Macaca mulatta: one gene and its partners. The protein of the gene in region 1 purifies or fractionates together with the protein of each later gene. This does not show direct contact. Links are inferred from orthologs where the notes say so. Each region holds a gene or a part of one and is shown on either strand. Other genes may lie near its edges.

What was found.
Region 2: the proteins of BRMS1L (region 1) and RBBP7 purify together in Homo sapiens (affinity purification with mass spectrometry; 4 studies listed by BioGRID and IntAct, counting the BioPlex papers as one, with this or other methods). This does not show direct contact. The link is inferred for Macaca mulatta from reciprocal best matches to the Homo sapiens genes BRMS1L and RBBP7.
Region 3: the proteins of BRMS1L (region 1) and SAP30 purify together in Homo sapiens (affinity purification with mass spectrometry; 4 studies listed by BioGRID and IntAct, with this or other methods). This does not show direct contact. The link is inferred for Macaca mulatta from reciprocal best matches to the Homo sapiens genes BRMS1L and SAP30.

What each region holds. Positions count from the first base shown.
Region 1 is NC_133412.1:108,943,289-108,951,303, reverse strand, and holds the start of BRMS1L (breast cancer metastasis-suppressor 1-like protein), read right to left. Parts: upstream 5,123-8,015; 5' UTR 5,066-5,122; coding exon 4,924-5,065; intron 1-4,923. UniProt on the Homo sapiens protein: Involved in the histone deacetylase (HDAC1)-dependent transcriptional repression activity. When overexpressed in lung cancer cell line that lacks p53/TP53 expression, inhibits cell growth.
Region 2 is NC_133426.1:16,535,848-16,543,678, forward strand, and holds the start of RBBP7 (histone-binding protein RBBP7), read right to left. Parts: upstream 5,306-7,831; 5' UTR 4,961-5,305; coding exon 4,945-4,960; intron 4,892-4,944; exon of another isoform or gene 4,553-4,891; coding exon of another isoform or gene 4,405-4,552; intron 4,131-4,404; coding exon 3,986-4,130; intron 1-3,985. UniProt on the Homo sapiens protein: Core histone-binding subunit that may target chromatin remodeling factors, histone acetyltransferases and histone deacetylases to their histone substrates in a manner that is regulated by nucleosomal DNA.
Region 3 is NC_133410.1:181,804,219-181,812,063, forward strand, and holds the end of SAP30 (histone deacetylase complex subunit SAP30), read left to right. Parts: intron 1-1,022; coding exon 1,023-1,148; intron 1,149-1,575; coding exon 1,576-1,674; intron 1,675-4,850; coding exon 4,851-4,973; 3' UTR 4,974-5,165; downstream 5,166-7,845. UniProt on the Homo sapiens protein: Involved in the functional recruitment of the Sin3-histone deacetylase complex (HDAC) to a specific subset of N-CoR corepressor complexes. Capable of transcription repression by N-CoR.

The DNA of each region.
Region 1 (8,015 bases):
AAATAATAACTTCTGCTGGGCATGGTGGCTCATGCCTCTAATTCCAGCAGTTTGGAAAGCCAAGGCAGGAGGACAGACTGAGCCCAGGAGTTCGAGATCAGCCTGGGCAATATAGGAAGATCCCATCTCTACAAAAAAAAAAAAAGATATTAGCTGGGCACAGTACCATGAGCCTGTAGTCTCACCTACTGGGAGGCTGAGGCAAGAGGATCGCCTGAACCCAGGAGTTGGAGGCTGCAGTAAGCCATGATTGTGACACTGCACTCCACCCTGGGTGACAGACTGACCTAGTCTGAAGAAAAAAAAAAAAAATCCACTGTAGATTTAATCTAAAATACAGATGAGTATATAAAACTATACTGGTCTATAGACCCTCTTATTTTTATTCATTTTTAAATCACTTTAAAGGACTGACTCTAAGCTATGACTATAAAGTAATTAGCCCACTTTCGGTTTGTTTTCCACCAACTCACCAGAATGTAGCACCAAAATGATTGTGTCCTTTAAAGGCTAACATTGCTCAAAAACACTTTTGGGATTCTTCTTTCAAACTGCTCACATGGCTGATTTGCCAGTCACATAAAAAAAGAAAAGTGGCCAGGCGTGGTGGCTCATCCCTGTAATCCCAGCACTTTGGGAGGCTGAGGCCGGAGGATTGCTTGAGCTCAAGAGTTCAAGACCAGCCTGGGCAAGGTGGTAAAACCCCATGTCTACTAAAAATACAAAAATTAGCCAGACATAGTGGTGGATGCCTGTAGTCCCAACTACTAGAGAGACTGAGGTGGGAGTATTGTTTGAACTTGAGAAGCAGAGGTTGCAGTGAGCCAAGACTGCGCAAGCCTGGGCAACAGAGACCCTGTCTCAAAAAAAAAGAAAAGTGAAAGAAAGGCCAGGCACGGTGGCCCATGCTTGTAATCCCAGCACTTTGGGAGGCCAAGGCAGGTGGATCACTTGAGGCCAGGAGTTCAAGACCAGCCTGACCAAAATGGAGAAACCCCGTCTCTACTAAAAATACAAAATTAGCTGGGCGTGGTGGTACATGCCTGTAATCCCTGCTACTTGGGAGGCTGAGGCAGGAAAATCGCTTGAACCCAGGAGGTGGAGGTTGCAGTGAGCCGAGATCGTGCCACTGCACTCCAGCCTGGGCAACAAGAGCAAAACTCCATCTCAAAAAAAGAAAAAGAAAAAAGGAAACTAATCTTATTTTGTTTACCACAGGCTCTCCTGGTCTGCCATTCCTACGTTCCCATTGTTCTGTCTCCCCATGTTACTATCAGTCAGTGAGAAAGAGGCAAATGAGGAGGAAAATACAAACTTTTTAAGGAAAGCAACTGTTAATTACCAGGTCTGTCCTATAGTCCACATTTTCTATGTTCACATCACATATATTCATTCATCAAAATAACTGAAGCACAAAATGATCTGCATCTTGATCTTCATCAAATAAAAGTCAAACTATGAGAAAGAGTTAAATCACGTTCAATTATTTTTATATAACAAGGAAGGCTATGACTTTTTTTCTAATTTTCTAAAACAGATTAAAAATATTTCTGGCTCTTGATTGCTTACTTCTTGGCTACTTAAAACTTGGTCCCTCAAGATGACTCACTATCCAAGTTCTTTGGACAGTAGAGACTTTTCTGTAGCCTTAGAATTTGCTCAGTACCAACATTTGAGAAGAAAACACTGTGAAAGTTTAACATGAAAGACATATGGTAGAACAGAGATGCTTTAACAAGCAAACTGCAAAATGTATTTAAACAATTTCTTTGCACTTAAACTTTTGGCTTGCAGTTCAAATTATTACCACATTCTTCAAAAATTAAGTTGTCCATTATTTTCTGGGATGGAATTTTTAAAAGTTAAAAATCACAACAGTCAACATAAAAATTATAGGGGGAGAATTTTAACAAATGGAATTTTGAGATCCTAGCTCCTATCATAAATGCAAGAACATTTGAAGATAAAATACTTTATAGATCTAAGAAATATATTCACAAACAGTCCAGGTGCAGTGGCTTACGCCTGTAATCCCAGCACTTTGGGAGGCATAGGCGTGTGGATCACTTGAAGTCAGGAGTTCAAGACCTGCCTGGCCAATGTGGCAAAACCCCATCTCTACTAAAAATACAAAAATTAGCCGGGTGTGATGGCGGATGCCTGTAATCCCAGCTTTTCAGGAGGCTGAGGCTGGAGAATCACTTTAACCCAGGAGGCAGAGGTTGCAGCGAGCCGAGATCACGCCACTGCACTCCACCCTGGGTGACAGAGTGAGACTCGGTCTCAAAAAAAAATTAAAAAAAAAAAAAAAAAGAAATATATTCCCATATAGTCTAGATGTTCTCCTTTCTCTATATTCCCCACTTTCGAAATCTCACCTACTTTCAAGGCAAGGCAGATGACTTACAAATTATTCTCCCCTTCCATATCAGGCAGGTTCCAATGTCACACTTGCATTTGTCAGTTGGGCATTCTTAAACATACTGCCATCACTCCAAAAGCAACATGTCGGCCAGGCAGGGTGGTTCACACCTGTAATCCTAACACTTTGGGAGGCCAAGGCGGGCGGATAACCTGAGGTCAGGAGTTCGAGACCATCCTGGCCAAGATGGTGAAACACAAAAATTATCTGGGCATGGTGGCGCATACCTGTAATCCCAGCTACTCTGGAGGCTGAGGCAGGAGAATCGCTTGAACCCCGGAGGTGGAGGTTGCAGTGAGCTGAGATCATGCCACTGCACTTCAGCCTGGGCGACAGAGTGAGACTCTGTCTCAAAAAAAAAAAAAAAAAAAGCAACATAACATGTCTGGCCGGGCATGGTGGCTCACATCTGTAATCCCAGCACTTTGGGATGCCGAGGCAGGTGGATCGCCTGAGCAGGAGTTCAAGACCAGCCTGACCAATACAGTGAAACCCCGTCTCTACTAAAAACACAAAAAATTAGCCGGGCATTGGCGGTGGGCACCTGTAATCCCAGCTACTCAGGAGGCTGAGGCAGGAGAATTGCTTGAACCCCGGAGGCAAAGGTTGCAGTGAGCCAAGATGGCGCCATTGCACTCCAGCCTGGGTGCCAAGAGCAAAACTCCTTCTCCCAAAAAAAAAAAAGGCCGGTTACGGTAGCTCACGCCTGTAATCCCAGCACATTAGGAGATCGAGGCGGGTGGATCACGAGGTCAAGAGTTTGAGACCAGCCTGGCCAATATGGAGAAACTCTGTCTCTACTAAAAATACAAAAAGTTAGCTTGGTGTGGTAGTGTGTGCCTGTAATCACAGCTATTCGGGAGGCTGAGGCAGGAGAATTGCTTGAACCTGGGAGGTGGAGGTTGCAGTGAGCCAAGATCATGCCATTGCACTCCAGGCTGGGCAACAGAGCGAGACTCCGTTTCAAAGAGAAAAAAAAAAAAAAAAAAGCAACATGTCTGAAATACTCTTATCTTTCACCTTCATCTTAAATCTTTCACTTTTCTATTTCTGTTGATGCTACCGCCACTCTCCTTGTATCTTGGTTTTTCTCTTACCTTCAATCCTAAACTTGCATTCATCAATCCTGTTTTGTGCTTTCTTTGAAATCCCTCACATCTATATTTCCTGTTCCTTTCCGACCTCAAGTTCTTCTCCCAAGGTTTTCACGCTTTTGAATAAGCCCTAAACTCTGGCCCTTGTACTTTTCCTTACATTCCTCTCCCTATAGGGATACCCACAACCCCAACCCAAATTCTACTCATTCTTCAAGATAATTAAGGTAATCCCACCTTCTTCAGCTAGCCTTTGTGACCACCACCCAATACTGAAACGATTTCCTCTGCCTCTGAATTCCCACAGCAATATTTAGTTAAGCATTCATTTGGCATTTAATCAAGTGGTGATGTATGACAGCTCTTTAAGAGAGCCCAGATAATAACTATTTATCCCTCATATTGAGTACTACCCAGTGCTGCACAAAGAAGTCACTCATAAATATTTTTGGATGGCTGATTTATTGATTGAAATTATATCCTTCCATGGAGATTTGCTTTGCAAGGGAAACATGAAAAGAGGGCATGTGGATGATACTAGGCTGTCATAAACCTATCATCAATGCTTGACCAAAATCAGGCCAAGACAAAGAAGTCAGTCTCATCTCCATCATTTCAATCGAAGGAAAATAATCCCGGTAATCACAAATTCCATTTCACTTTGGAATAAACATTCCTAAAAGTTTGCAAAATTTATTTGTGGTGTTAATCTGCCCTCCTTCTCCCCCACCCCAACATAATTTAAAACAGCCCAAAGTTAGAAAAAAATTGAAGGGAAGAAAAGACTTGGAGAATTTTCAACGCTGCCAAAACTCAGCCAATTTATAAGCATATGAAGACGCAAAATGAGCCCGAATGTTGGTCCCTTCCTCTAGGTCTTGCAAACTTCAGGGAGCTACTGAACGGGACAGCTCTCAAGTTAGCCCCCGAAAAGGGACTGACGTAAAAGTGCTCACCGGCAAGTTGACTTGGAAACTGAGGTTAATTACTAAGCCGACACTCGGCCCCGGCAACCCACTAGCGCTGAGAAGTGAGGGTTGCAAAGCAGAAAATAGGGAAAGAGGTCGGTGGGTTGGGGAGAGGAGGCATTTCCAGTTTGTCTGCTGTGGGAAGTTCTCCGCCTCGGCCGGTCGCTCCAGAGCACCACCGGGGGCAGGACTGCGCCGCGTTCGGGAGCTGGGCAAGCCCAGGCCCGCCCCGCCCCGCCCCGCCGCCGAGACCCATCATGAGCCAGACAGCGCCCAGCGACCGGACCGGGTGCAGCCCAGGGCCCAGAGCCAGTCTCCGCCCCTTCCCTCTGTCCCCGCCCCGCTTTCCCAGCAGGACGCAGCCGCCTGGCGTGCAGAGAGCGGCCTGTCGCGCGCTGGGCGCGGGGACTCAGGGTCCCAGCCCTGCTGGGTCGCGCACCTGAGCTATCTCCATCCTCGGAGACCGACGAACTCTCAGTGTCCTCGTCCTCGGAGCTGCTCCCCTCATTTTCGGCGTAGTCCACCTCCATCTCATCGTGATGGTTGGTCTCCTTCTTATCCCCTCGGGAATGGACCGGCATTTTCAAGCCGCGCCGTCGCTTCCCACTCCCGGCGCCCAGCCCGGCCACCGCCGCTTCAATGAAGGGCGCGCGGAACGCCCCGACCCACCCAGCGGCCGAGCCTGCTCGCCCCCTTGGCTCCTCCCCGCCCCCGGCCCGGGCCTCACAACCTAACCCGCAGGCTCTGCGATGGGAGCTCTGCCATTGGCGGAGGCGGTCCACCGAGCCAGAGGGCGGGGCTTGCCCTGCTCTGGTACGATTGGTTGTCCGTAATTACGACGCGGCCTTCCGATGCTTGCCGGGAGTTGTGGTTCGTAGGGCTCAGACCTGCAGGGGCTGCACCCTTCCATGCCTCGGCAGCCCTGATCACTTCTTCTTTCTGGACTTCAAGTCCCACAAGGCACGAAAGCTGACCCTCTGGATCGCAGTTTATAAACTAAACAGAAACAGATTGTGCGAATTTAGTGTGTATTTATCTATTTCCCGCCAAGTGATTGTTTGACCTGCCTGACTATCCGAGATGTTACTGTCAGATGTGAAAGTGTCTTTTGCCTGAAAGAATCTTTGCCTGCTCATTGAGCCGGGGGACCTGGCAAACCGTCTCTTTTACTAAGTACCTTTATTACCTACCACTAATAAACTGTTTTATTTAATTATTAACTATAGACGATAACTTGCAGTTTCTATGTTGCGCAAAAATCTTTATTCTTGAAACTTTTACAATACGGAAAGTAAGTTTTATATTGGCATTTTCAATCTAGTATTTTTTGCATTTATTTTTTACCAGATGCAGTCGCAAAATGTCATCAGTCCTGATTTAACTTTAGTTTTCAATGAAAAATACATACTTAGTGAGATGTACTTTCTCAAAAAAAGGGTACATAGACAAGGAAGAATCAGTGACTCATTAACTGACCACTTATCCTCTGTATCAGGTATCTTGGTAAGCTCTTTACATGAGTTTAGTGAGTTTAAGTCTCACTTTAATAGCCCTGAGTTAGGTGTCATTGTTATTCCCATTTTACAGATAAGGAAACTTCATTTGCAGACCAATCTTAAAACTATATTTTACCCCTTATAACGACAGGGTTTCTTCTTGAAGTGGCAATTTGCTATTGAAAAATAGTACAGGCCGGCAGGGTGGCTAACGCCTGTAGTCCCCACATTTTAGGAGGCCGAGGCAAGCAGATCACTTGAGGTCAGGAGTTCGAGACCAGCCTGGCCAACATGGTGAAACCCAATCTCCAGAGGCTGAGGTGAGAGAATCACTTGAACACAGGAGGTCAAGGTTGCAGTGAGCTGACATCACACCACTGCACTCCAGCCTAGGTGACAGAGTGAGACCCTGTCTCCTGTCTCAAAGAGAAAAAAAAAAAGTTCATAGAATATTGTGGATTGTATAGCACTGCATTCTCAAAGACAAGGGCCAAAGATATGAAGTTAAATTTTCAATTTTCTTTAGTTATCTATCTATTTATTTAGAGATAGGATCTGGGTCTGTGGCCCAAGCTGGAGTGCAGTAGCAACCTCAAATTTCTGGGCACAAGCGATCATCTCGCCTCAGCCTCCCAAATACCTGAGACCACAGGCACATGCCACCATGCCCAGCTAATATTTTCTTTTTTTTTTTAGTGACAGGGTCTAGCCCAGGCTGGTCTCGAACTCTAGTCTCAAGCAATCTGTCCGCCTCAGCCTCCCAAAGCACTGAGATTCCCAGGTATGAGCTACTGTGCCCGACCTAGATTTGTAATTTAATGACAGAAAACTTTTAAGTTCTACACATCTCTTACAGAGTAAAATACAAAATAAGAGGTGTGTATTATATTTAGTGTCAGCCTACTTCTCCCTTTCTCGTTGTACAGTATTCTCCAAAATTGAACTCCTTATAGTTTCTAAACACACAAGCTGTTTCTCATTTCAATGTCTTTGCACATTCTATTTCCTTTACAACCCTGTTCCTCTCCTTTTCTTTTTCAAAGCCACTTTTTAGACAACACACGTCACCATCAGCACCTCTACCATTCAAGGCACTCCTGTTCCTTCAGGTGACTGCTGTATTTTGAAATTTGCAAGTTTATACTTGTTCCTATCACAATATATTGTAAATTGTTTAGCAAATGCATCTCACCTGTTGGATTGTGAGTTCCTTGAGAGCAGAGGCTGTCTTAATCTGAAATGCAAATACAAAGGCATGCGGTAGTCAGGCAGGTCAAGTTACAAGATGTAAGCCTTACATGAGTGGTACCGATTAAAGGGGGCAGCTGCTTTTGGCCCCAGCCAATTGTTACTACCTGAGAATTTTGGCCTACTGATGTCAGACCTGATTTCAAAGAGAAACCAGAAATTTGGATCTCTATGTGAAATATCTAGAACTATAAACATTATCTCAAGTGATGTTTTTTGTTTTGTTTTGTGTTCTTTAAACTTCAGATCAAACAAAAACAGCTGTGGGTAAAATCCCCGGCCTCTAAATATTTGTTATATCAGCAGCTATCAGAGTGTGTGCTAAATCATAACAATTAGATTTATGGTGACTCAATGTGCCAAGTGTGTTATGTGCTTTAAGTACATTAATTCACTGAATCCTCATAACAATCCTGTAAAGTCGATACTATTATGCCCTACATTTTATAGATGAAAAAACCGAGGCACAGAGCAGTTATAGTACTTGGCCAAAGTCACACTGCTACTATGTAACAGATCTAGGATTTAAACTTGAGTAGTCTGACATAAGAATCTGTGTGCAACCACTGGCATACAGTGCGCCTCTCGTGGTTGCTGTTTCTGCTGTTCCAGGAAAAACAGAGGGAAGGTGGAAAGGAGGAGGCATGGGTTCTTGCCCTCCTTCTCCTAGTAACCAACTGATACAGTTTGGCAAACCACATAATCTCTGATCTGTTGTAAAATAAGAAGTTTGCAGTGTGTTAACTTTAAGTTCTCTTCCAGCTCTAAAATTCCTGTCATCATTAAG
Region 2 (7,831 bases), on another chromosome or scaffold:
ACCAGTCTGGGCAACATAGCAAGACCCTGTCAAAAAAAGAAAGAAAGAAAGAAAGAAGAAATATTTGGCCACATGCGGTGGCTCATGCCTCTAATCCCAGCACTTAGAGAGGCCAAGGCAGGCGGATCACTTGAGCCCAGGAGTTCGAGACCAGCCTGGGCAACATGGCAAAATCCCATCTCCACCAAAAAAAAAAAAAAAAAAAGTAAATATTTAAAAAGAGAAATAAGAATGCTTGAGAGAAAGAAGGCACCACAAAGCAATGCCAGGACTGACATCAAAGGAAAAAAGTGACTTGTTTTTTGTGGAGTTAAGCAAGAAAACTGAGACTCACAGGTAAAAAATTACAGGTAGACAGGTCAGTTTATCATAGGCCCTTTCTAATGAACACTGTCCCAAGATGGACTGGAGGTGCTTAAAAATCCCTCTGGACTCAAATTTAATTATTCCAGTTTTCCCCAACTTGATCATCACATGAGGACTTTTCTTTCTACTAGAAATCCTTTCACCTCCATCACTAAAACACAGCCTGTTTTCCTAAACTAATCAATATGACACTACTTTCCTCCAATACTGGATGTATTTAAAGGCTGCAGAAGCACTAATGGTTAAGAGAGCCTATTCATTTTCAGTGCAGAATCCTCTGACCCCAGTAACTACCACTAGGAAATTTAGCCAAGCATCACATAAATATGGCCTATTACAAGATTATTCTCAGCAGTATTGTTTATAGCAGCAAAAAGACTGAAAATAACTAAACATCCATCAGTAACGAACTGGTATCATATATTACACAGTGTATCTATAAACAAAATTCTATGGCACCCTTGAAAAGAACAAGCATATCCAAGCATGCTGACAGGAAAATCTCCAATATGTACTCTTACTGACAAACTCAAGAACTTGCTACCATAAAAAATGAAGATACAGGTATGCACTTCTACACGCTGGCAAGGATGGGTTAGGAAATTGAAAACAATGACTGGGGAAAGGAAGTAGGACAGTAAGGGATGTGGAAAGGGGACTTATTCTTCACTCTACATCCTTTTGTACTTCCTGAATTTGAAAAACTACAAAGCTTTTTAGGTAGACAATAACTTAGTCTCAATATATTTAAAACATTATTCAACAAGAGATATGAAATAACTACCTAATTAAAAAAAAAAAACAATTTCTTAGAGATATCTAAATAAAACCTTTTAAAAGTCAAATCAACAATTGTAATCCCAGCATTCTGGGAGGCTGAGGTGGGTAGATCATGAGGTCAGGAGTTTGAGACCAGCCTGACCAACATGGTGAAACGCTGTCTTTACTAAAAATACAAAAATTAGCTGGGTGTGGTGGTACACACCTGTAATCCCACCTGCTCAGGAGGTTGAGGCAGGAGAAACGCTTGAACCTGGGAGGTGGAGGGCGCAGTGAGCCAAGATGGTGCCACTGCACTCCAGCCTGGGAGACAGAGTCTTGCTCTGTCTCAAAAAAAAAAAAAAAAGCAAGCCAAATCAATTATTTGGACAATTACCTAACTCAACTGAAGGACAATAGCTCAGAAAGTCCAAGTAATTGTTATGAAGCATGTTGTAAGTCGGCAGAAGAAAGGCTTATGAGGTGGAGCAGGGTCTTGTTCCTCAGAGTCAGACACTGAGGAACAGTCAACATTTTTACTGTTCTGTATGGTGATAAAACACAGTCCCTTTATACCCCTAACTGAACCCTGCAAAGCACCACACAGCAATCCTCAACATCCAAGAATGCAGGCTGCTTGGCATTTTCTTACATTCTCTAAGGCACTGCACGTCCCACAACTCAATCCCACAACAGCTTTGTATACAAAGAACACCATGATACATATTAAATAATTTAATTAAAGCATTTTCTGTTACATTCCTAAGTATTACATATTATAGGTAACATTTAAAAAAAAAAACTTCAGCAAGTAGCTTCCATTGAAATCCAAATGAAGAAACACAGAGCTATTTCAATCCTGACAAATTATTTCTGAACAGGAAGGGGTGGGAGAATCAGCATCAGTCACCACTTACTGTGTACTTATGCTGCACCAGGCACTTTAACATGCATGATCTCATTTAATTCCCTCAAATGTAGGTAGTCAGTACGACCAACATCTCCATTTACAGCCCAGACAACACGGCCCCAGTTCACAAAGCTAAGAAGAAGCAGGGGCATGATTCTAACCCAGGTCTCTAAGTTTAAAGTCCCTGCTGTTTTCCATTATGTTACAGTGGGTCAAAAAGATCCCCAAAAAGGTAAATTTAGTTAATACATTTTAAATCTGCTTAACAGACCAAAGAGGCAAATGCACACAATGCTCAAACCAGAACTTGAATACCCCTGGGCATACGATGCTTAATCTAGTTTTTAATCTGTTCAAAGGTGACTGTAAACGTCAATGCTTCCAAGTGTCCATCACTTAGTTCTTCTCTACTCTTCCCACATCTGTACATTTACATTTAGATTTTTGGGAAGCCCAGTGGAAATTCCTATCTGTATGGAAATCAATGTTTGCATATGGAGAACCTAGCCATTGTAAGAGCAGTTTTATATACAATTAGATTATTATTGTAATTATTATTTTTATTTTTAAGAGATAGAGTCTTGCTCTCGCTCAGGCCGGAGTGCAGTAGTGCGGTCTTGGCTCACTGCAACCTCCGCCTCCCAGGTTCAAGCAATTCTTCTGCCTCAGCCTCCCTGTAGCTGAGACTACAGGCACACGCTGCCACGCCCGGCTAATTTTTTTTTTTTTTTGTATTTTAGTAGAGACAGGGTTTCACCGTGTTGCCTGGGCTGGTTTCGAACTCCTGAGCTCAGGCAATCCACCTGCCTCGGCCTCCCAAAGTGCTAGGATTACAGGCGTGAGCCACCGCGCCCAGCCAAAATTAGCTTATTATTTTTATAACTTGTTGCAAAATCCTCTTTTTAGGTTAGAGTTTCATTTAATCCTCTTTAAATTATATGCCCACAACACTCAAATTTAAGATGCTTTTTTGTTGTTTCTTTGGAAGACAGGGTCTCTCTCTGTTGGCTAAGCTGGAATGCAGTGGCGCAATCATGGCTCACTGCAGCCTTGAACTCCTGAGCTCAAGCTAACCTTCCAAAGCGCTAGGATTACAGGAGTATAAGCCACTGTGCCTGGCCCCATATTTAATACACTTTAAAAGTACATGGTCAAGTTCCTACTAGAAAAGGTTCAAGTGAATGAGAAAGGCAGACTAACGCAGGGACCAGCTGTGTGATCTTGGGATGGCACTTAAACGCTCACTCCCAGTTCCCCTATCAGTAAAACAAGGATAATGAAAATTACCTACAGCATAGTACTACTGTGAGGATTACAACAAGACGTAGATTCTTCAGCTGTGCCAGGCCCTGTTGAGTGCTCAATAAATGCCAGCAATTATTACCAGAGAAACTGTAGATCTAACAGAAAAGAATACTCTTATGAAGACTAACGGCAATCTCAAAGTGTATTCCATAAGCCAATAACATCTTTTCTTTAGTCAATTGTTGACAAGGTCTTTTTGCCTTTACCAATTAAAATGTATTTATCTTGGGTGACTGTTACGTGTGTTCACTTTGCAAAAATTTATGAAGCCATACAACACTTATGATGTGTGAACTTTTCTGTAAATATTCTCTTTTTCAATAAAGTTTTAAAGAAACGCATTAGTTTGGGCCCAGAGAGATGCTGCTCTACATTCGAGCCCAGGAACTGTCAAATACATTCAGTGTTTCCTCCAAATACCATTAATCTCACAACGGATTCTTTCTCCCCTTTTACCACCACACTATACGCCAGAAATCATCCCATAAATCACGTTAAGTTTTGAAAATAAAAACCACCTGCCACCCCATGCAAGGGCTGATTACATACTTATGTTCTAGGTATAAAACGCCAAAACTAGGAAATTCAGAACGACAGTTAAATTTAAGCAAAAAAAAAAAAAAAAAAGTTGCCAGAAACCCTTACTTAGTCACTTCAGGAAGCCACTGAACGGTAAGACTGGGCCACTGAAGAGCATGGGTCATAACCAGGTCATACAGAAACGGTGTATTCTTCTTCCAGATTTTATATTCTTCATTGATGACACGCTCCTCCACAGTATCTTCAAACACTGAAATTTGGAGAAAGCCCACACAATTAAGTGGCTGAGATGGATCGAAGTCAGAAATTGGAGGTCACCTCAAGATGGCCACACCTCATGTACTCTTTCCTTTTACCTCTAATTTGGACACGGACAACTAACTGCTCTTCCAGAAGGTGAAGAAAATACTACCAACCACGAAGCCTCTTTTTTTCCGTTGAGATCAATACCCTCTGCGTATACCATGTTGGGTAGTCAATTACACGGACATGGAAATTGTTTACCCTGTTACAGCTGTTCGCACCTGTTCTAAGATGACGACCTGTACGTACAGGGGCTGCGCGACCCACTCGGGAAGATAACTGCACGTGTACCAGAAGCCCACAGGCCTGGTCCCTCCAATCCCCATCAGGGGAGGCCCCAGCTCCCACGACACCCGCCTCGGCAGCCATAGGCCTGAGGGCTCCAGCAACCCCCGGACAAGGGCCGCGACCCCGAGGCGGTCAACGCGCGCGCGTAGAAGGAGCCGCGGCGTTCGCTTCCCGGCGGCGGCGGCCGCCTCCGCCCCGGGGCCGAGGGCGCCGGAGGGAGCGCAGCCTCTGGAGGAGGGAAGAGAAGAGAGGGGCCCAGCCCTCGGCCCCGCGCCCGGCTCCGGAAGTGCTCGGAGCCCTCGGCACGGCGGTCCCGTCCCGCGCAGGCCCCTCGAGGCGCGCGCCCAGCCTCGCGCCCGGCCCCGCCCCCTGCTCCGCACGCCAATTCGCGCCTTTCGCCGGCGCGTGCCGCGGCCTCGCGCGCCCGCCGCCCCCCGCGGCCCCGGCGCGCGCCGCCCCGCAGGGCCTCTTACTCTCTTTACTCGCCATCTTGCGTCGGGTCGTTCGCCCCTCGCCGCCGCCTCGGACTCCCCTCGTTAGCCAAGAGCAGCCCGACCACTGGCGCTCCTGCCTTTCCCAAACGCGTCACACACTCCCCGCGGTCGAAAGCCCGGGCCCAGTCTTGCTGCCTGGGTGCTCCCCAGACGCCGCGTCCTTGTTTCCTGCCTCCTCCCCGCTCGCGGGTACCGAGGTCTGAGGCGCTCTTCTCTCTCTCTCCAAACTTGGAACGAGACTTTTCAACCCGCGCCTCCCAGCCCGCCCAGGCAGCTAAGCGCAGGCGCATCCGCCCTGGGAAAAGTGAGAGGAGGCGGAGAGGCGGGTCTGGGAGCCAACGGCTCCAGCGCCGCGACCAATGACGCGCGGCGGGCGGGTTTCACGCGGCGTTCGGAGGCGGGCTTCTGGGGGTGGGCGGAGCGTGCCGCGGCAGGAAGTTGGCGATGCGCAGGCGCGAGGGCTCGCCCGGTGCTCCCAGGGCCGGCCGCGGGGGCGGATGGGGGCCGCGGGGGCGGGGCGGATGAGGGCCCGAGGGGGCGGGGCGGATGGGGGCGCGCGAGGGTGGGGTGGATGGAGGCGCGGCTGGCCGGCTGAGCGGGGGCCGCGAGCCCCGGGGCGGCTAGCCTTGGGGCCCGCGGGGCGTGGTTGCTGGTAGCGGCAGCGGTGGTGGGGGTGAGAGGGGGGCAGGGAGGCTGCTGCCGCTTAGCCAAGCAAAATCTCAGAGCAAGAGGGGAAAATGGTTCCTGTTCTCGAGAGATTACTGTGCCTTCAAAGTCTCCCTGATAATCACGGACATGCAATTCTCTGCACCCCTGAAATGTTCTCCTCCAGCCGACTGGCCTTTCCTGGGGCCCGGTCGGGCCGAGGTGGGGCTGGTCTCAGAGGGAAGAGAGCTTCTGGAGAGGCCGCGGGCGTTTTTTGCCTGCAAAAGCCGCCGGGCCGCCTTGTTAGGCTAAATGTGCAGCCTGTAGCGGCACAGGCCGCCGGCGGGCCGAAACCGATTTACATTGTTACATTTTAATTTGTTCGATGTTTGGGTCCTTAAGATGATGGTTTGAGGCCTCTTCGTGCTTCAGGGGATTTTGTTCCAGCACTGGCATTCCTTTCGCATCCCAGCCCCGGCCCCTGCTGAGTCATTTTTGTCACCTGCAGGGGTCCCAGGGCGACCCCACCCCAAGCTGGCGGAGCTGGAGAGAGCAGGGCTGAACTGCCCTGGGCCTGCTTACCTGAGCCATGCTCTGCTCGGGAACTTCATAGCCCCTGGGGAGTGTATCGGGGGAGGAGAAAACTGGCTGCAAGGCCAAAAGGGGAATAAAAGAAAATGAGGGCCAGGAGCAGAGGGGACGGAGTTGGGGGAGGCGACCAAGGTGCCTGCGTGCAAAGGGAACCGAAGTGTACGTCCAGCTCCGAGAGAGGCTCCTCTTGCAAAAGCACCCCCGGAACATTTGCTGCCTTGATACCTTTCCAAGTGCCTTCATGCTCAGATGCTATCTTGCAGATGCCGCTGTCATGCCCACTTTTCTGACCGGGACGCAAACCCAGACGTTAGTCAGTGGCAGAACCAGTCACACATTCCCTTCTGTAGATATTTACTGTCTTGTTTCCGATACAATACAGTTCATTATTATAACGCCCTCCCCCTATGCCGGGTCAAAGAATCTTGTTAGTGCCTAAGGCTGAGGGGGTGGCTGGAGAGGGAAAAGAGTTGGAAGGGTGTTTAAGCAATACAGCCCTCATATTCTAGGACGCTGGTTGGCAAGACTTTTTCTAACAGGACCGAGATAGTAAATATTTTAGGCTTCGGGGGCAACTGCTCGACTCTGTCGCGTTGTAGCGCAAAGCAGCCGTGGAAAATGTGGATACATTTGGCCGTGTTCCAATAAAACTACAGACACTGAAATCGTTTTCAGGGTCACAAAATCTTTTTTTCAACCGCTTGAAAACGGAAAAACCATTCTCAGCTCGAGGGCCATACAAAAACGTGGTGGGTTAGATTTAGTCGGAGGACTGTAGTTTGCCCACCTTGTTCTAGAATAATTGTACCTTATGGCTCTGCTTCAAAGAGAACCTCGTGTGCAAAACAAGAGGCGGCTTGGGAGATGATTTGTATCCCTTTAATACAGTGTACTGATTTCTGATAAGTAGGCATGATTTCCAAAACCTATTAAAAGAAATGTTTGAAGGACTGAAAGAAAAGAAATCTTCCCAGACGACGTGGCTTTAAAATCTTGATACTGTTGACCTCAGTGAGGGTCAGAGAAGGAAATACGGAACAAATATTTTGGGAGTTTCTGAGAATATTCACACGCTATCATGCATTTAATCCGAAGGTATCATGTACAGCATATTTCATTGGTTTTGCATTTTTGTTGTTGTTAAATTGAATCTGTCAATTCTATTTAATTTTTTTTTGGCCTTTTTTCCATCAACTACTTTTTTTTGAATTAAAAAAAAGTGATGTTTTCTCTCTTGTATTGCTTATCTGTTGGGTTTGCCTTTCTCCCCAACCTCTTAGCTCTGGTCCTAATCTTTTCTGGCACTTTTCTGGGGTTGTTCTTTTTGTCTCTTCTGTGCTCAGCTAATAGAGTCAGGCACAAACAGGTGCACACACACAAGAAAGGGATGAATTTTATTTCATTTTTCCAAAAATGCAAATTCTAAATGGACTTCATGATTGAGCTTAGTCACAACTTGAAGTTTGAAAAACACTATACTATGATTTTTTAAATTTCTCTTTCCTTTTTCTTTTATTTTCTTTTTCTTTTTTTTTTTCTTTTTTCTTTTTTCTTTTTTTGTTCTTTTGAAAGAGGCTCTCATTCTGTCACCCAGGCTGGAGTGCAGTGGCACGATCACAGCTCACTGCAG
Region 3 (7,845 bases), on another chromosome or scaffold:
TTAGTCTACAGTTCGCAGGAGTGTGTGTAATTAAAGTTTTTGAAAAGTTTATTTGTGATACTTTTTTGCCCGTTTAAACAGTTTTCAGTGTTATCCGTGAGAAACTTTTCAGGTGAACTTGCATAATTTCAGATTGCTTTGGGAAAATGTGTTATAAATAAATACATTGATTTAATTTAATATTCAGAAAAGTTGATAACTGAAATTTAAATATAGTTATGAAGTCGATAGCTCATTTGTAAAAACGGATGGTTTTGTATCCGGAATATAATTTGGGCATTCAGTTGGAAAGACTGGAAAGCATACATTATGTTACAAAAATATGCTCTTCTTTAAGTAGAGAAAGTACTGTCAAGTAGCAAAAGTGGGCAGCATCATCTTTCCCCTTAACAGTTAAAAATTCAACATGAACTAATTCATGTCATCCTCACTGCTATTTATTTATTTATTTATTTATGTGAGACAAAGTCTCACTCTGTTGCCCAGGCTGGAGTGCAGTGGCGCGATCTCAGCTCACTGCAACCTCCACCCACCAGGTTCAAGTGATTCTCCTGCGGTAGCCTCCTGAGTAGCTAGGATTACAGACTAGTGCCACCACGCCCGCCCAATTTTTTGTATTTTTAGTAGAGACGGGATTTCACCATTTTGGCCAGGCTTGTGTGGAACTCCTGAGCTCAAGAGGTGCTGGGATTACAGGCGTGAGCCACCGCGCCCGGCCCCTCACTGCAATTTGATGCCAAAACCCAGAGGGTTGGAATTTCTCATTCTCCTCTCCCTCCCTCCCTTCACCCCTTCCCCAAATGGAACCAACCCCTCCTTCCCCATCCACCATCCTTTTAACAGTATTCCAGACTTCTTATGTTTTAACAGGGTTTAGGATTTAAATGTATAAATATTTCATTGTGTTAACAATGGCCATCTTGACTGTCTTTATTTTTACTATCTGTGGCATATGTGTTTTACTAATACATAGACACATTTTACTGTAATCATTAGCAGTGTGTGAAACTTTTCTGTTTCAGGCAAGGCATCTTTACATATGTGATTATCATAAAAACTTAATTCAGAGTGTTCGAAACAGAAGAAAGAGAAAAGGGAGTGATGATGATGGAGGTGATTCACCTGTTCAAGATATTGATACCCCAGAGGTAAATGGAAGTTTTTTATGCTTAATATAAATCCTAAGTAGTGCATTCTGAAACCTTTATAAAAAGATATGAACAATCTTTTAAGTGTTTAAAACATTTGAGAAATCTGAAAATGAAAGCAAAATTAAATATAGCCAGTTGTCATGCATTTACACAGTTTGAATTGTTACATTTTAAATTGACAATTTTTGCGGCTCTGTTGTCACATAACTTACTCTTTTTTGACCTCAGTTTATATTATTAATCCCCAAAAGATTAAACTGTTTAATAATTTATAGGTTTGATTATGTAAATTTTTTAAATAATTTTTTTGATTTTGGAAGTAAATTTTTATTGTGCTGAAGTTAAAATGTTTGTTATTATACATATCGATGATAAATTTTCCACAAATTGTATGAACTAATTTATGCATGTTAATTTTTTCTAGGTTGATTTATACCAATTACAAGTAAATACACTTAGGAGATACAAAAGACACTTCAAGCTACCAACCAGACCAGGACTTAATAAAGCACAGCTTGTTGAGGTATATATGATTTTTAAACTATTTGAACTATGCACAACCGAGAGGCTGTTAAATGCTAATGAAAGTATTAATGTAGTATATGTAACAGTACATTTAACAGTACATTTTATTTAGAAAGAACAATGTTAAAAAATCTATTGTGGAAGAATCTAGTTGTCTAGAAATGTTTGTCAGCCACTTAGGAAATTCCTTTTTGTAATGACTACTCAGCAGGTTGTGTACAGCACCTTCTGATACTGGCTTTCAAAATGTGTTGTTTGTTTTTTGAGACAAAGTCTCGCTCTGTCACCCAGGCTGGAGTGCAGTGGCACGATCTCGGCTCATGGCAACCTCTACCTCCCAGGTTCAAGCAATTCTCCAGCCTCAGCCTCCCAAGCAGCTGGGACTTCAGGTGTGCACCACCACACCAGGCTGATTTTTGTGTAATATCTTTAGTAGAGATGGGGTTTCACCATGTTGGCCAGACTTGTCTCAAATTCCTGACTTCAAGTGATCCGCCCACCTCAGCCTACCAGAGTGCTGGGATCAGCAGTGTGAGCCACCGTGCCTGGCCCTCAAAATGTTGAATGAGAGTTTTTTTTAATCCTCACTTTAGAAATCTATTAGTTTTAAAACTCCATTTAACCAGTAAATGTTTGAGCATCTAATTGAGGCATAATAAATTTAATTAGCAAGCTTTAATGTCCTTATTAAAATTTATATTTTAAAGTGGTGGAGTAGGCCTACAAATCAGCCCCTAAACAGTATTTTTATAATTTGCTGACTTAACTATTTCAAAATTGGTCCTTGTTGATGTTAGTTTTATTAGAGACATCTATGTTTTCTTCACATCTAGAAGAGGCAAAAGCTTTTCTTTTACCCAATCTTTTACTTGTAGTTTGCTTTGACAGAGGACTTCTAGTTAGTCAGTGAGTTGTGAAAGTTAATGGAGTATGCATATGTTCTCAGGATATAATAGAACCAAGAAGTCTGTGCATCTTATTAAGATGCTTATAGATTGATATATTTATATTTTAATCATATTTAAAATTTTTGCTTGCAGCTACTCAGGAGGATTGATTAATCCTAGGAGTTTGAGTCACCATGGGCAACATAGCAACACTCCATCTCTAAAAAAGAAAATTTAGCCTACTAGACAAAATAGAAGTGTAGATATATAAATCGGTTTTCTCATATTCTTTGCATGGATTTAGTAGTTACCCAACATTTTCTAAAATGTACAACATTTCATTGAATAAAATGAAATATGAATAGAAGTTACATTTATCTGATGGAACGCTTTTTAACATTGTTAAAATCTAATACATTAACTATTTAGCTAAAATTTCTTATCCTTGGTTAGGCAACACGGATCTAATTAATTTTTCTTTAATTTTGATTTAAAAGATCAAGTTCTTTTGGGGTTGTACAATACATTATGTAACGTAAATATAGATCTTGCCCACCATGATGAAATATTTCAGTAGGTACTAATGGAGTGAAGGCACCCCTGTTTTGGAACAAATGAGAACCAAAGAACTAATTATTTTAAATGTTACATTTAGGTATAAATTAAACCTGAAATTTTTGATAAACTGACCTTCTAAGAACAGTTATATTATTTCTAGAGCTATTTTCTTTTTTATACATAAGAGATAGCCATGAGTGTTATATTTTACTTAATCAGAAATGCAGTTATTAACAGGTTAAGGAATGTGGAAATGTGCAGATGTAGTACATATATTTTAAGACAGGGGTCCCCAACCCCGGGGCCATGGACTGGTACTGGTTGATGGCCTGTTAGGAACAGGTCCACAGAGCAGGAGGTGAGCACCAGCTAGCAAGAATTACTGCCTGAGCTCCGCCTCCTGTCAGATCAGCCGTAGCATTAGATTCTCACAGGAGTCCAAAACCACGTGTGAAGTGCACATGTGAGGGATCTAGGTTGTACGCTTGTTATAAGAATCTAATGCCTGATGATCTGAGGTGGAACAATTTCATACCAAAACCAACTCCCCCACCCCCAATCTGTGCAAAAATTGCCTTCCGTGAAATCGATCTCTGGTGCCAAAAAGGTTGGGGACCACTGTTTTAAGGGATTCCAGGGTTGTATGACTAAGTCTTAAGTCTCGTAATTGTTGTGTGGATGAACTTTTTTCTTAAGAAATTCTATTTTCTGGAATCTAAATATGCTTGTCAGCACCTCAGGTAAGTCTATTAATCTTCTATTCGTAATTGTAGTATGCATATTACATTAGCACAATGAAAAGGCAAGGAAGCAGGTAAACATCCTTCATTGAACATCCCTCTTTCTCCTCTCATTTCCATTCACAATTTTTATTCAGAAAAATTTTCAAGGAACCTTAACCAAAGAATGCTACCAAGATACGAATGAATGAATGTAATTTGCAGCAAATAATTTATATGTTATTGTTGATTACTACCAAAAGTTTTCAACTTCATACTTCTTTTTCTATCAGTAGGGTCTAAACCATTGCAGGTTTAATGATGCATGTGGTCTCTTACATCTGTTTTATCTCATTTAAAGTTTAAAAGTAAAAACATGTATTCCCTACTCTAGATTCCAATTATAAAATTTATTATTTTTATCTTATTTATCTTTTTTGAGACAGAGTCTTGCTCTGTCACCCAGGCTGGAGTCCAGTGGCGTGATCTCAGCTCACTGCAACCTCCACCTTCTGGGTTCAAGCAATCCTCCCATCTCAGCCTTCTGAATAGCTAGGATTACAGGTGTACACCACCACGCCTACTTAATTTTTGTATTTTTTTTTGGTAGAGATGGGGTTTTGTCATGTTGCGCAGGCTGGTCTTGAACTCCTGGGCTCAAGTGATCCCCCTACCTCCGCCTCCCAAAGTGCTGGGATTACAGGTGTGAGCCACCACTCCTGGCCCAATTATAAAATTTAAAATAAATAAAAGGAAAATGTATTTTCTAATCAATGTATAGTAAATTGAGTGAGCCAAAAGGTCCTTTGAAATCACATTATCTCTTGTTCATAACATTTTATTCTTAAATGCTTTTTGTCCTGTTGGTATTTTCTTAAATATAATTTTTAAAGGAAATAGCTCTTATCACATAGATTTTTTCTTTGGATGAAACCGTATTTTTTACCTAGTTTATGAAACCTGTTATATCTAAAATTTAATTTCCTTAATTTTTTTTTTTTTCTTTATAGATAGTTGGTTGCCACTTTAGGTCTATTCCAGTGAATGAAAAAGACACCTTAACATATTTCATCTACTCAGTGAAGAATGACAAGAACAAATCAGATGTCAAGGTTGATAGTGGTGTTCACTAGGAGACGTGGAATTGAGACTAATAACTTGGATGATAACACTGTTTACTGTTTTTTCACATGTAGAAATGTTCTTTGTGTATTTTTTCTACAGAGGATTTTCTCTGATTTTATTTTCTTTGTTTCTGACTCTAATAATTAGTTGGAAACTCATGTAAAATGAGCTTTCCTAAATTAAAAACTATTTTAAATAAAGGTTATTACTATTATAGTTGCTTCAGTGTATTTATTTTGTGAAACTTGATTTTTCTTTTAAACTGACTTAGAGATCAGTATTGATATTTTAATGTAAAGTCCTTCATTTTATAACCCCCTTTTTTTTTTTTTTGTAAACTTCCAAGAAATTAACAGGGTAAGGAGAAGTAACAAATGTAGCACATTTGCATTCTCTGGGACAATCTGACTTGGAATTGAAGATATTTTAAATAGCATTATTTTTTTTAAGTGCTTTATAATGCTAGCAAATTTGAAAAATAAGCTTCTATTGGAATACAACTTCTTTTTTATTTCCTTTTTTTTTTTGTTATTATTACTTGATGAAGTACTAGGAAGAACAAATGGTTTAATTTATATACCCACCTCGTTCCAAAGACAACTTAATGTGCCAGTGAAGATAAACACAATGCTGAAAGTCGAAATAAGAACATGAAATGAAATAGCTGTTTTTGAAAATTTTGTCTTTGGGAAAAGATATTTATGTGGCATGAATACAGAAAGTACCTCTGCTATGCCCCTTAATTTTTAGTGATGTCCTGTACTGTTTACATTGCAAATGGTAACTAGTAAGTTGGAGAGGTCTAGATATCTAACAAGATCTTCATTTAAATTTTGGTTATATATGACTGACTTGATTTATCCATCTCCGTTTTATGTTTCATTCCTGGTCAGTTTTCTATCAAACATTCTAAACCTCTGCTTTTCCTGAGATTATATTGTTTAGCTAAATCCTTATAATTACAAATCAAATTTATAGTTTGTAACGCTTCAGCAAACTGTTGTGAGATAAAGCTGCGGATTTTAGGCTGGAAATGGATGAGACCATTAATGTAGCTCATGATTTCTCAAAGTTGACATTTGGACTCAATAATTCCTTTTGGTGGGAGGCCGTTGAGTCTATTGGAGGATTAGCAACATCCCTAAGTCCACTCAGTAGGTGCCAGTAGCTCCTCCAAGGTGTGACAACCAAAAATTCCTCTAGACACTGCCAAACATACTTTGATGGTCAAAATCACAGCTAGTTGAGAACCACTGATGTAACTAAAGTACTGCATCTAAAGTACTAGTTCATTAGTAGGTGACTGCATATTTTCAAGTGTTCTTAATGTATTGACTGCTAGAAAATATAATGAACAATAAAGCAACTGGTCTTTGGTTTTGCTATGACCATTGAAAGATTTGCTTGCTACTTTATTAGCAAGCACAGGCTGTAATAATTGCTGTCATAGAAACTTCTCATTTCTGGAATTCTGGAAATCTGTGAGAAGACTTCTTATAAAAACATTTTGAGGCCGGGTACACTGGCTCACACCTGTAATCCCAGCACTTTAGGAGGTCAAGATAGGCAGATCACTTGAGCCCAGGCATTCAAGGCAAAATGGTGAACCCTATCTCTACAAAAAAATACAAAACTTAGCTAGGCCTGGTGACGTGCATCTGTAGTCCCAGCTACTTGGGAGGCTGAGGTGGGAGAATCACTTGAGCCTGGGAGATTGGGGCTGCAGTGTGCTATGATTGCAGCACTGCACTCCAGCATGGGCATTGGAGTGAGACCGACTCAAAAAAAAAAAAAAAAAAAAACCCAAAATGAAACCCATATTCTGTTCTTGTGAAAAACAAAAGCTTGAAATTATTTGCTGATATAAAAGTATGAACATAACCTTTGGCAATGTTAATTTCATATAATTATTTGTGTAATAAAATGTAGTTTTATAAAATATGAATGAAGAGTTCTGGATGGTAGTTATTCAATGAAATCAAATCCTTGTTAATTTAAAATACAAAAAATCGGATCTTGTAAGTTGAGAAGTAACTCAAGGAGCTGCAATGTAAAAGTCAGTTTTATATGAAAATTTCAGTGACCATTAGATTTTTTAAATGATGAATTCATTAAAAATTATTTTTACTTATCCATATCTGAACAAAAAATAAATGGAAACTCATTTCTATAAGGGTATAGGTTACTTTTGATGTTAGAGCATTAAGAAAAGAATCTAAATTTAAATGCCACGAGAAGTAGGAGGAAAAAGTATACTGAATGGATAGCAGGGGCTCAAAAAATAAGTTAGTTATTTGGTTACTAACTTCAAAAGAATAATTTTGGGAAAGGCCTAAACATGCCTGAAATTCATGTCTTTACAACAAATTCTATATTTTTCTACATGAAGTCTTTTTAAATTAAGAAACAAAATATACAATTAATCATTTTAAAGTGTACAATACGGTGGTATTTAATGTATTTGCAATATTGTATAACCAGCAGCTCTAATTTCAAAACTTGTCACCCGACAAAAACAGCCATACATAGTCACTCCCCCTTCTTCCCTCTCCCTATTCCCTGGTAACCTCCATTCTGCTTTTTATCTCTATGAATTTGCCTATTCTGGATGTATTATAAGGGAATCATACAATGAAGTACTGCAAGTTGGATGAACCTTGAAAACATGCCAAAAAGCATAATGCTAAAAAAGCATGTTTTCAAGTTTCATCCAAGTTACAGTACTTCCTTTTTCAGGCTGAATAATATTCCATTGTACCTATTGAACACAGTTTATCCATTTATTTGTTGATGAACATTCGGTTTCTATGTTTGGCTATTATGAATAATGCTGCTGTAAACATTGATGTACGAGTTTTTCTGTGGACATATGTTTTCATT